Mus musculus: one gene and its partner. The protein of the gene in region 2 purifies or fractionates together with the protein of the main gene of each other region. This does not show direct contact. Links are inferred from orthologs where the notes say so. Each region holds a gene or a part of one and is shown on either strand. Other genes may lie near its edges.

Evidence for each region. Proteins that work in one complex are often made in the same cells at the same time.
Region 1: the proteins of Rpl18a (region 2) and Ddx56 purify together in Homo sapiens (affinity purification with mass spectrometry; 3 studies listed by BioGRID and IntAct, counting the BioPlex papers as one, with this or other methods). This does not show direct contact. The link is inferred for Mus musculus from reciprocal best matches to the Homo sapiens genes RPL18A and DDX56.

What each region holds. Positions count from the first base shown.
Region 1 is NC_000077.6:6,264,203-6,270,415, reverse strand, and holds the start of Ddx56 (probable ATP-dependent RNA helicase DDX56), read left to right. Parts: upstream 1-2,686; 5' UTR 2,687-2,696; coding exon 2,697-2,756; intron 2,757-2,836; coding exon 2,837-2,998; intron 2,999-3,444; coding exon 3,445-3,605; intron 3,606-3,733; coding exon 3,734-3,904; intron 3,905-4,009; coding exon 4,010-4,100; intron 4,101-4,659; coding exon 4,660-4,904; intron 4,905-5,620; coding exon 5,621-5,740; intron 5,741-6,178; coding exon 6,179-6,213. UniProt on the Homo sapiens protein: Nucleolar RNA helicase that plays a role in various biological processes including innate immunity, ribosome biogenesis or nucleolus organization. Plays an essential role in maintaining nucleolar integrity in planarian stem cells.
Region 2 is NC_000074.6:70,893,386-70,899,466, forward strand, and holds Rpl18a (60S ribosomal protein L18a), read right to left. Parts: upstream 4,059-6,081; 5' UTR 3,992-4,058; coding exon 3,974-3,991; intron 2,928-3,973; coding exon 2,748-2,927; intron 2,661-2,747; coding exon 2,531-2,660; intron 2,472-2,530; exon of another isoform or gene 2,374-2,471; intron 2,325-2,373; coding exon 2,215-2,324; intron 2,186-2,214; exon of another isoform or gene 2,123-2,185; coding exon 2,030-2,122; 3' UTR 1,337-2,029; downstream 1-1,336.

The DNA.
Region 1 (6,213 bases), on a different chromosome or scaffold from region 2:
TATTTATTTGGAATATTTATTAAATTTCTTTTTCTGACTTAATAGAACTAAATTCTCCCTTTGTTTTTTTTAAAAATTTTTTTGTGTGTAGGTACTCTACCATATATGCAAACATATTTTACACTTGGAGTATATGCAATTTTTTTTTTTTAAGTTTGTAAAGAGGAAGGCAAAAAAGTGAACAAAAGATTCTATATATCCCTCCTATTTTTATTCTGGATGGCCACTTAACCACCAGAAAACTTCCTCAGGTACTTAAAATACCTTTGTAGTTTTCTTCAGGTTAGAGTTAGTATTAGAAGTTAGATGTCAGAATTATTTTGTTTTTAGGTGATTGAGACAAGGTATTTATTATAGCTTTGGTGTAAACCAGGCTGGCCTTGAACTCACAGAAATCCACCTGCCTCTGCCTCTAGAGTGCTGGGATTAAAGGCGTGTGCCATCGCGCCCGGCTATTGTTTTTGAGAGTCCCGAGGTGGAGCTTGTGTTGGTCTTTAAGTCAGGGTCCTCCTGGCTCTGATCTTCGAGTGTTGGGGTTTTATTGTGTGGTAAGATGCCCAGAAATAAAGTGTCCTTTGGATGACTTAGATGTGTAGATCAACATGAGGTTTTGTTTTTTTTTTTTTGAGATAGGGTTTCTCTGTGTAGCCCAGGAACTCACTCTGTAGACCAGGCTGGCCTCGAACTCAGAAATCCGCCTGCCTCTGCCTCCCAAGTGCTGGGATTAAAGGTGTGTGCCACGACTGCCCGGCAACATGAGGCAACTTTTCTGCTCTGATGTCTCAAGAATTGTAGCCAGCAAAGTAGACTGGACCTGAGAGAGCGAGAGGCTAGAAAAGGCCAGGCCAGGCATCGATGGGTTTGTCCACAATAAACACATTGGAGCACCAAGCTCTGAACAAGCAAGTTTCTTTCCTGTTGATTCCTTTCCACCACACCCCCTATCCCCACCTTGGAAACAAACAGATTTCTGGCAGCATTCAGTTATGGCCAGATTCAGTCGTGTATGTGAGGGATATGGTAGGTAGGAAAATGACTGCCTCAAAGGTATTTCCATCCTAACTCCTGAAACTTGTGAATGCCATTCAGCATGGCCAAGATTGCTGACCAGATAACTTTAAAGTAGGGAGTTAGTCTAGATCAGTCATTCTCAACTTGTAGGCCATGACCCCTTTAGGGGTCAAATAACCCATTCACAGGGTCCACCTAAGACCAGCAGAAAAGACACATTTACATCATGATTCATAAGAGTAGCAAAATTACAGTTGTGAAATAGTAAAAATGATGTTCTGGATGGGGGTCACTTCAACGTGAGGAACTGTATTAAAGGGTAGCAGCATTGGGAAGGTTGAGAAGCACTGATCTAGATCATCAGTTTGAGCTCACTGCAGTCACAGGTGCCAGAGTCCAGCGTTTTGCAGTTAGGCTTCTAGCCCCACCTTAAGTCTCCCCCTTTTCCTCTCCTTTGCTGCTGATTGAGACTCTAAGGCATCATGCACGCTAGGGAAGTGCTCTACATTGATCCTGTTGCCCACTTAATGACCCCTTTTATTGGTCTTTTCCTTCAGCTCAGCCCCTCCTGTTATCAGGAGGGCTTTCCCTTTCTTAATAGGTGGTCACTATAAGACCCTGTTGGTAAATGTTTTTAGTCCCCACCAATCTCTTTTCTGTTATTGCCCTAACAATAGTTACAGCGCCCAGAAGAAATGGGCCTAAGGTCAACTGACACTTTTTTGGCTTTAGGTGTTTTAAGAGGTCCCAAGGAAGGGTGGTAGTGCATGCCTTTAATTCCAGCACTAGGGAGGCTGAGTCAAACCAGTCTGGTCTACCTACCAAGTTCCAGGCCAGCCACTACATAATGAGGCCATGTCTCAAAAAAACCAATCAATCAATCTTCCCCAGGCAGTGATGGCACATGCCTTTAATCTCAGCATTTGGGAGGCAGAGGCAGGCGGATTTCTGAGTTTGAAGCCAGCCTGGTCTACAGAGTGAGTTCCAGGACAGCCAGGGCCACACAGAGAAACCCTGTCTTGAAAAAAACAAACAAACAAACAAAAAAAAAAAAACAAAAAAAAAACAAAAACAGAAGAAAAAGTCCTAAGGACATTCCCTGGTAAGGAATTCTCAAAGAATGGGCCTTATTAACATGTGTAACAAAGTCTGATTTTCGTTTTCTGGGAAAGATGGTCCCAGGAAGGGTTCGAGTCAACTTGGCTCTTCTTCTAAGAGCTGTTAAGGATTGCACCGCGTGTTGGCAGTATTTGTGAAAATCTTCATAGTAGCTGAAGGCCTGATTTAACATTTATCTTAGGTTAGCAACTTGTGCCGCGATTTCTGCCCAGTGAGATTTGCCTCTGGTTACCCACAGAACCCTAATTCCTTTGCGCATGTGCCTAAGTGGCGGCTGCCTCCCTTTAGCCAAAACGCGGTCGATCCCAACCATAACCTAGCAAAGCCCTGCCCACGTCACTCTGTGGGTCAGGGAAGGCTGAGGCGCCAGAGAAGAGGCATCCACAATTCGGAGGGCGTTCAAGGGACAGCATTGCGGAACGCTCCTGCGCAGAGCCAGCACAAATTGGTAGCAACGTCGGACACCCAGGAGAAAGTACTTCCAGGAAGTGACGTACCTTCCAGAGCTGATTAGTTGTTGGTTTGTCCCGCCCTACGCGTGCGCACTGACAGCGTGGAGTCACGCCATGGAGGACCAAGAAGCGCTGGGTTTTGAACACATGGGCCTGGATCCCCGGCTCCTGCAGGTATGGGGTAGGCTGTGGAGCTGCTACCCGGTGTGCCGCTGTACTCCACGCCGCTTGAGCTGCGTCCTCTTCCTTCTTAGGCTGTCACCGATTTGGGCTGGTCGCGACCTACGTTGATCCAGGAAAAGGCCATTCCTCTGGCGCTGGAGGGGAAGGACCTCCTGGCCCGCGCCCGCACAGGCTCCGGGAAGACCGCAGCTTATGCTATTCCGATGCTTCAGTCGCTTCTCCACAAGAAGGCGGTGGGTAGCGAGAGGAGCAGTGAGTATGAGGCAGGACGCTCCAAAAGAATAGGGAATGAAGTGCCCGACTGTGCCAAGGTTCCTCCTATAGGTCCTGTGTCAGTGTTAGGCGGCCCATAGAGAACTTGGTCAATTTGCAGCTTAATCTCTGAGCTGGAGTTCAGGTTACTTGGCTCTCAACCCGGGCCTTGGTGCCACGACCGCCATCCTGTTGTAATTTTGAGTAACCTTTTATCTAGAGGGGGACTCATCAGCTCCGTAGTACGTTAAGTGATTTCAGCAAGTTCTAAATTTGAGTGCCTGGGAAAGCTCTGCCCCCTGTGCTGTGAGGTGGGCAGAATTAAGAGTTTATCAGGACACAGCTAGGTGGTTGTGTTGCAGTACATGGTTCTGACTGTTTGGGCGGACCCAGTACTTTGAACGGTCTTGAATTGGTGTTCTTACAGACAGGTCCTGTAATGGAGCAGGCTGTGAGAGGCCTTGTTCTTGTTCCTACCAAGGAGCTGGCACGGCAGGCCCAGGCCATGATCCAGCAACTGGCTGCCTACTGTGCTCGGGATGTGCGAGTGGCTAACGTCTCAGCTGCAGAAGACTCAGCTTCTCAGAGGTGGGTGAAACCTGCAGGCCTCCAAAGGGAGAACGCTTTGCAAGTGTGTGCCCTTGGTGGTGTGAGTGGCTAGCCTGGGCAGGTCTGCCAGGGCGAGGGTCTGGCTGCTAAATCCTTGCCACCTGCAGAGCTGTGTTGATGGAGAAGCCAGATGTGGTGGTGGGAACCCCATCCCGAGTGTTAAGCCACTTGCAGCAGAACACCTTGAAACTCCGGGACTCCCTAGAGCTGCTGGTGGTAGATGAAGCTGACCTTCTTTTTTCCTTTGGCTTTGAGGATGAACTCAAGAGTCTTCTCTGGTAAGGAAGAAACAGAAGTGGCTCCTAGACCTGCAAGGGTCTGGACTTGGGACTGGAGTGGAATGGGTGGGCTGGAGCCTGATCAAGCCCTGTTCTTTCTTTCAGTCACTTGCCTCGGATTTACCAGGCTTTTCTCATGTCGGCCACTTTCAATGAGGATGTACAAACTCTGAAGGAGCTGGTACTGCATAACCCGGTAAGTGGAGCATCTGGGACTGAGACCCAAGTCTCTGAACTTGTTGATCCTTCTCAGGAAACTTCTGGCGCTTGCGGGGGGACTATTTTTGTTAGGTATGTCTTTCCTAATTCTTAATCACTGAAAGGAAGTCACTTGAAGTCATTATATATTTATAGCTTTCCCTAGTCCAAACTGTGCTTTGCTTGGAAGTCACTTGGGGTCACGTTTCCAAAGGGAGCCAAATTCTAAGACCAGAGTTCCCCTTGTGTACATTTCAGTCTTCTACTTCCAGCCATTGTGCAGGCTTCTATTCTGTATCCTGTCTACTCCCAATGTTTGTCTTTGTGCTGTACACTGATGCTGTATGTATAGTTTGTTTCTAATACCACAATAGTTAGGGTACTTTTGAGTTCTTAGGTTACAGCCCTGAGGTGGGGTGGGGGATGGGGCAGTGGCTCACACACCAAAAACCCTTAAAGACATGTTCTATCCTGCACTAATGTAGTTGCTTTGGTTAGTGAGGCAGTGTCCACAGAACCACTTCTCTTTCCTGATCACAGGTCTGTCCTCTTCCTAGGTTACCCTCAAGTTACAGGAGTCCCAGCTGCCGGGGCCAGACCAGCTCCAGCAATTTCAGGTGGTCTGTGAGACAGAAGAGGACAAGTTCTTGCTGCTGTATGCCCTGCTCAAGCTGTCACTGATTCGGGGCAAAGCCTTGCTCTTTGTCAACACTCTAGAGAGGGGTTACCGGCTCCGTCTTTTCCTGGAACAGTTCAGCATTCCTTCCTGCGTGCTCAACGGAGAACTCCCACTGCGCTCCAGGTCCGCTGTGTCTGTCTTGATAAAGATAAGCTGAGAAGAAACATGGAAGGAGAACCCAGTTGGTTCTTTCCCCTTTTACGAGATGGGTTATGCTGTATTTGTAGTCCAAGTTAGCCTTGAATTTAGAGCAGTCCTCAGATTTCTAAGTGCTGAGATTAAATTTGTGGGCTGCCTCACACAGCTGGTCTTATTTCTTCTCCTCCCGCCTCTTTGCAGTGTGAGGGATTGAGCCCAGAGCCTTGTTCTTGCTAAGTAAGCACTCAACCACTCAGTTATACACCTAGATCCCTTTTCTGTTCTGTAACCACTTGCTAGGAGCTAGCCTCTCAGTATGATGACAACTCTGAAATAATTAGCTGCTGCTCCATTAAGGAAGAAAGGAAGGAAGGAAGGAAGGAAAATTACGAGTGTAGGTGTTTTATTGCCTGTGTGGTTTATGTGTCCTACGTGCGTAGCTGATGCATAGGGAGGCCATAAAGGGTGTTGGATCCCCTGACATTGGATTTACGGAGTATTAGTTGCCATGTGGGTGCTGGGACTAGGACCTGGGTCCTCTGGAGAGCAGCCGAGCGTTTAGTCCTTGAGCCATCTCTCCAGGTCAGTGCTGTAGTTTTCAGCTGAGGAGGCTGAGGTGCGGATCTGAGGATAATAAAGGAGGTAAAGAGAGAGGGAAGGAGGATGGTTAGGGTCAGGCTGGTCATCCCCTTGGATTGCAGGTGCCACATCATCTCACAGTTCAACCAAGGCTTGTATGATTGCGTCATAGCGACAGATGCTGAAATCTTGGGACCCCAAGTCAAAGGCAAACGTCGAGGCCGCGGGTCCAAAGGAAACAAGTGAGTCCACGGTTCTCTTTTTTCATCATTCCTCCGAGAGGACTGTTTTCAGCCTCTGTAAGACTGAGCCAAAGTGCATAGAGTGAGTGAGTTGTCAGACATTCTCGGTGGTTATACCTGGCAGTCCCACGGGCCCTTGCTTAGCTTCCTGGGCAGACATAGAGTAGAGGGTGATGCCCACATGTGCAGCACAGAGTGTCAGGGTCCCAGAGGCGGTTTATGGGTCAGTATGTTCTGCTATTGCCCAGGGCTAAGGTCAGGGCACAGGTTTGCCTGCATGTCAGAACTCCGGTCCACCCTCCAACACCCCAGCTCCTGGAGTGATTCTAATGTTTGGAGGTCTTTCAGCTTTGCTTAGAGGAGAGATGGCTTAGAGATATATGTGAGAACACATTCCCAGAGGGTGAGTATCTGTCTGATACCAGGTTATTTTCTCAGGGCCTCTGATCCAGAGTCAGGTGTGGCTCGGGGCA
Region 2 (6,081 bases):
ACCGGCAGGAACACAAGTGTGCACTACACCTGACCTGGCTGTCCTCCCCTTTCCTGTTCTCTTCCTTTCTTTCCCACAGGCTGACCACAAAGGTGTGTCAATCCTGCCATGGCTTCCCTAGTGCTGGGATGACAAGTGAGGGTTCATTGGATACCCATTTCTCCCTTCTTGTCGCAGGTACTTTGGCATACCTGGGTCCAGAACAGAAGTTTGCTGATAGTGGCTTTCAAGGGACCCAGGGCTTGGGATGATGCAGAACTGTCACCGGGACCCTTTTCTGGAGAACTGGCCGTTTCTGGGGTGTTCAGGGTTGATTCCCTATTGAGCCACGTCTGTACTTCCCGGGTGGTCTGATAAGTAAAACTAAGGCACACGCCCCCTGGTGGCCTCATATGCTGTATACTGGCTGGACTGCCTGCCTGGAGGTGCTGGTTAGGAGGGAGGCCTGGCTAGGGCAGTCTCCTAAACCTAGGTGGCAGGCGGGCTTGAGGGCATTACTGATGAGGTTGAAAGGGCTTTTCTCTTCTTATTAGACTTTATTTTATATTTACATGTGGGTACACTGTAGCTGGCTTCAGACACACCAGAAGGCGGCACTGGATTCCATTACAGATGGTTGTGAGCCACATTGTGGTTGCTGGGAACTGAACTCAGGACCTCTGGAAGAGCAGTCAGTGCTCTTAACTGAGCCAATCTCTCCAGCCCGGGGTTTCAGGTTTTTGCAAGGCTTCAGAATGGGTAGAACTAAGATGAGATGACACATGTATTCTGAATGGGAAGAAGCACTAACGCAGGAGGGAGGGAAGAGTCTTCCCGAGGCAGCGGGACTGCCATGTTGGGACAACACTTGCAGTCATGACCTGTGCCTAGCATCAGGGAGAGCTGGGGCTGGTCGTGTGCCTACCCAATGTTTCTTTTGGTGTAGCCCTGACTGTCCTGGAACTCACCTTTTAGACCAGGATGGCCTCGAACTCAGATCTGTCTTTGCCTCCCTGAGGGCTGGGCTTAGTCTCACACCAGGTATCTTCACAAACTCCCCAAAACAAAACTTAATTATGCACGTGGGTGAAGGGGAGCTGTATATGAATTCTGGCGCCTGCAGAGGCATCTGATATCCTGGAGCAAGAGTTACAGATGTGGGCCTAATACAGGTGCTAGGGACAAAACCAGGTTAAGAGAAGGAACTTTTCATGGATTCTTCAAGGTTCCAAAGCAGCAGCCACTGGTTCTACTCTGCACAGGGAAGCAATGCAGTCTGAGGGGTCACCCATTCCTTTGATGTGGGACCAATGGACTTAATGGGAAAAAGAATCATCTATAGACCAGATGCCCTCTTATGGCTTTCACATGTTATCTTCTAAGTGCCATTCACACATTGCTATCCCTGAAAGTACTCTGGGCCATGTGTAGACATGGAAATGTCTACAAGGGGCCAGAGGCAAGTCCCTCAGAGGTAGCAATTGTAGGCAACTGCAGTAGGTTCCTCCCTGTGACAGAACAGTCCCAGGAAGCTTCAGGCCTGTGCCCTTTCAAGATTGGGCACCATGATGATGCCGTGCTGGCTGCACCCAACAAAAGGAACCCCCATGTTTCCTCCATCATTCACCAAAGCGTAACCCTGTCCCCATCTAAAGCTTGCAAGCTCACTGTGGGGCTTGGCTGGCCTCATTTCCACCTAGCTGAAGCTTAGAGCCAGCAGGATAAAAAGCTCAACCAGGTCCCCAGGCTTGGATTATAGTCATGTCTGGAATTCTTAGGCCTGAGACAGCAGCACCCTGGAGTCCAGAAACAGACTGCTACCCCTCAGTGTCACAGGCAGGGCTCAGGCTATGTCCTAGACAAATCGTAGTGGGGCTGAAGCTAATCTAAGGGGATACACACCTATGGAAAGATGCCACTGAGCAAGGCTGACAGGCAGGTGAGCAGGGCTAGCATGTTGTTAGGGACGGGACCAACTGGGACCTCTCCAGGGACATAGAAGCAAACAAGCAAGGACAGTCTCAAGTTTTTATTCAGTGGGTCTCTGTGTCTAGAAGAAGGTGTTGGGCCTCTTGGTGGTGAAGCGTGGCTTGTGCTGGCGCCGCAACACACGGTGGGGCAGTGGGAATTTGATCTTGGAGTCCTGTGGGGAGGGAAGCAATCAGTGTCCAGAGACTGTCCGTGTGCAACCACCCCCTGCAGCCCTGCGTCAGCCCCACACTCGGGGTCACTCACGTGGAACTGCTTGACAGCTGGCCGGCGGCACTTGCCAGCTGCAATCTCTTCCACCTTCATGATCTGGATGGAGTGGGCACGGGCACGGTGTCGGGCACCCATGTCTCGGTCTGTGGAAAGAAAAGAAAATCAGCCCCAGCCACCCAGAATGCCCCCACATTCTGTAGAGCCTACTGATTCACTCTGGGGGGCACTGCACAGCCCCCCAAAGGCGACGAAGCCCCTTTGCTGTGTGCACCACTATTTAAACAGCCGCTACAGGCAGCGACAGTTCTTGGGTTGGGTGCCAGAAATTGGCAGAGGGTTGGAGACTCACAGCACTGTGTGACTGCACCAGCAGTGGTCAGGTCCCTGTACTCCCGATACATGTTGTGTGTGCCACTGCGGGAGTCATAGCGCAGCCAGATGCCAAAGTTCTTCACACGCAGGGGTGACTTCTCAAACACCTGTGGGGAGTAGGGAGGACATGAGGAGTGCTGCCCTGGCTCTGATGGTACCCAGCGACCGGCATCCTGTGGGGCCCCAGACCTCACCTGTCCGCAGTACACAATTTCCCCGGATGACTTCTTCATCTTCTTCAGCTGTGACACAAAGTACCAGAAGCGGGACTTGGCCACCACATGGTTGGGTGCAAAGATTCGCATACGGTACAGTGGTGGTGTGTGGCATTTTGGGGTTGGCAAGCAGCGCCCCACCACCTTGTACTCCCGAAGCTGAAAGACATGTCAGGAGAGAAAGTTGTCTATGTGGGGGAGGGGTGTGGAGGCAGAGCCGGCCTGAGATTCAGTCCTCCCACAGGCAGGGGTGTCCAAAGTGGGCTCATACACTCGAGCCCAGTGTGAGGCAAGTCAGAAGGCTTGTGCTCCGCTACGAAGCTGCCTCAGGGTCTACATGTGGCAGGCTGCTCTGCTCTCCCTGAAACTCCAGGCCAAGATGGCAAAGGTGGCTCACGTCTTTAATCCCAGAGCAGGAAAAAGGCCATTTGTTCTACAGAGAAACTGTCTCTGGATTGGGACTAATTGACGATTCCAGACTAGCTTTTCACCAAGAGTCCGAAGGATTGTGTCCAACACACCGGGGCCAGTATGAGATCCGGCACCCTAGGCTACCGTCAGCCAGCCTTTAGAACTAGCTAAGGATGATTCTAGCGACGCTCTGCTTCGATTTCAAGTGCCGAGATAAGTGGCAGCAGGCTCGGTGTAGCCAGCGCTGGGGACAGGCCGCAAGCTTACCAAATGCTCTCTAAACCTAAGGCGGGCCGCGTGTCCACTCCAGTCTAAATAGACCAGGTTAGCTTTAAACCTCATAAGAGACTAAAACAAGCCAGCCGGGCGTGGTGTCACACGCCTTTAATCCCAGCACTCAGGAGGCAGAGGCAGGCGGATTTCTGAGTTCGAGGCCAGCTTGGTCTACAGAGTGAGTTCCAGGACAGCCAGGGCTACAGAGAAAACCCTGTCTCGAAGGAAAAAAAGACTAAAAGAACCACGGGGCTAGATTTGGCAACGAAAAGGAGTGTAACGCTGATATACACGAAAAGGCGGAGGGCCTTCCGGTGCACCCCGATCTAACCCGCTCCGTCCTCGGCCGCCCAGCACGCGGCGGCCGCCATGTTGGCCGCAAGGAGGCTGTGGGCGAGGAGAGCTGCCCGTAACCGCTGAGGGACCCTCGCGACGAACGCACCACCACCCCGGAGGACACAGCCAACCCGAGCGGCCCTGCCGCCAACGCCGCACCTTTTGCCCCGCCGCGGCCTCCTTACCGTGCCCGAGGCCTTCATGGCACTGCGCACTCGTTCACCGCCAGTCACAAAAGGAAGTGTTGTCTTTCGCGCAGGCTCTCACCATGGTCTCTGACGGAAGTCCCGCCCTCCTGATGCGGTGCTTCCATTGGGTACAGCTAGTAGCGGTCTAAGTTCTTGGCTTTTTTATTGGGTACCGATCAGCTACGTATAAGTCCCGCCTCTCTTCACGGAGACTACAGTTCCCAGAGAGCAGCGCGACGGGCCTTTGCAAGTTTCTCCCGGGACGCCCCATCGTCGTGCGCGAGGGATCCTGGGAGTCTACGCGTAATCGTGGTTCCTAGTTAGATTCCGGATTTTTAGTTCTCTCTGTCTCTCTCTTTTTTCATCTTTTTCTTCCCACTTTCTACATCATCCTTCTGTGTATCTACCCATCTATGACCCATCATCCATCTTTTTTATTTGCTTGCACCACCTTCGTGTCTGGTGCCTCGGAGGCCCGCAGAGGGCGTCAGTTCCTCAGTGCTGGAGTTAAAAGTTGTGAGGTGAATGCTGGGAATCGATCCCTGTATGTGCTCTTAGCTACTGCTGTTCTCTCTCCAGCCCCATCTATCTTTTTCTCTGTCATTAGTTTGGTTTGTTTGTTTGTTTTTTACTGTTTATTGAGATAATGTAGCCCAAACTAGCCTGTAACTCACTGTAATTCTCCTGCCTCTTCCTAGTTCTTGGGATGCTGGAGTGTGCCACCTGCCAGCCCACGTAACTATTTTCTTTATAGAATTGTATCAGAGCTGTGTCACTCTGTCTTAACTTTGTCATTTTCCTGGCCAGGTCCTGTACCTGAAGGCGACAATATCCGCCGTGTGTTTCCGCTAATGGCCACTAGGTGGCGAGCGCGTTTTTTGGCTCAGCCGCAACGCAATGCAATGCTGGGATGTGTGCTTCTAGGTCCCCCATTTCCATTGTGCTCAGGCGCATTCAAGTGTGATCCCTCAGTTTCCCCAGCCGCATTAACACTCCCCGTCCCATAAGATAGTTGTAAGATTTAGAAATTGGGCGTGGTGTTGCATGCCTGAGGTCTTACAAATGGGAGAGTGAGCCAGGAGGCTCAGGAAAGATGGCCTTGGCTACACAGAAAGATCTCATCTTACAGCCTTCCCACCCCAAAATAAACAGCTTAATAACATGTCGGTGTGCAATGGGCAGGCTAGGACACAGTCCACCTCTGCTGGAACACATTGCTCCAACCTGTGTTCTGGAGGCTGCTGAAGTGGGGTAGATACATTCTGTAAGATGCAGGACAGATGCTGGGGTGCAAGCTGTGCCCTGAGAGGGCACAGGGAAAGGAATGGAGAAACAGCTGTGTGAGGAAAAAGTTGGTATCCACAGGCCCAGCCTTAACCTTGGTCTGGGCTTTGATGTAAATTCAGAGTTTACAAGACCCTCAGCTGGGTGAACAGGACAGGTGCTGGCGGTTCAGTTTCACTTCCTGCTTTGCAGATGCCCCCCTTGGCCTCTCCTGAGTGGCGACAGGCTCTAGCCTTAACAGACCTCCTCTCCAAATGGCTCCTCTCCTAGGGGCTATGAAGAATCCCAGCAGGGCCACCTGTTGGTAAGACCTCAGGTTTCTGTCACAACAGCCCTGTCACCACAGGCTAGTGAGTATTCTGGACTTTGAGGTCCACTGACTGGCTTGTCCCCTGTGCCTTTGTTCTTCTGCAGTACACCTGTTAATCTGGGATCTCAGGCCACCTGCTTTTATCCCTCAGTCCCTAGGCAGAGATGTCCCTGCCTTAGTAACTTCAGTCCTGTGCCTTGCAGAACTAGGCAGGATATTGTAACCAGTCCTCAGACCCTAAAATGCCTTCAGACCCTAAACTACCTAGTACCCTGGGTTTCCCTTGTCTGCAACAGGCCTTACACTCTGAGGAGGAACAGACCCAGACATCTGATCCTCAGTACAAAGGACATTTATTTATCCCCCCAGGGACAAGCAGGGGTGGGGGGAGCTGCCTCTGGATTGGGCATAGCAGGTGCTTCTGCAGGAGTGGGTTTTAAGGAGAAAAAGGGAAGTCTGTGCTAGGGTGACTAGGTAAGTCCTGATTAGACAGATCAGCTAGTGTAGACAA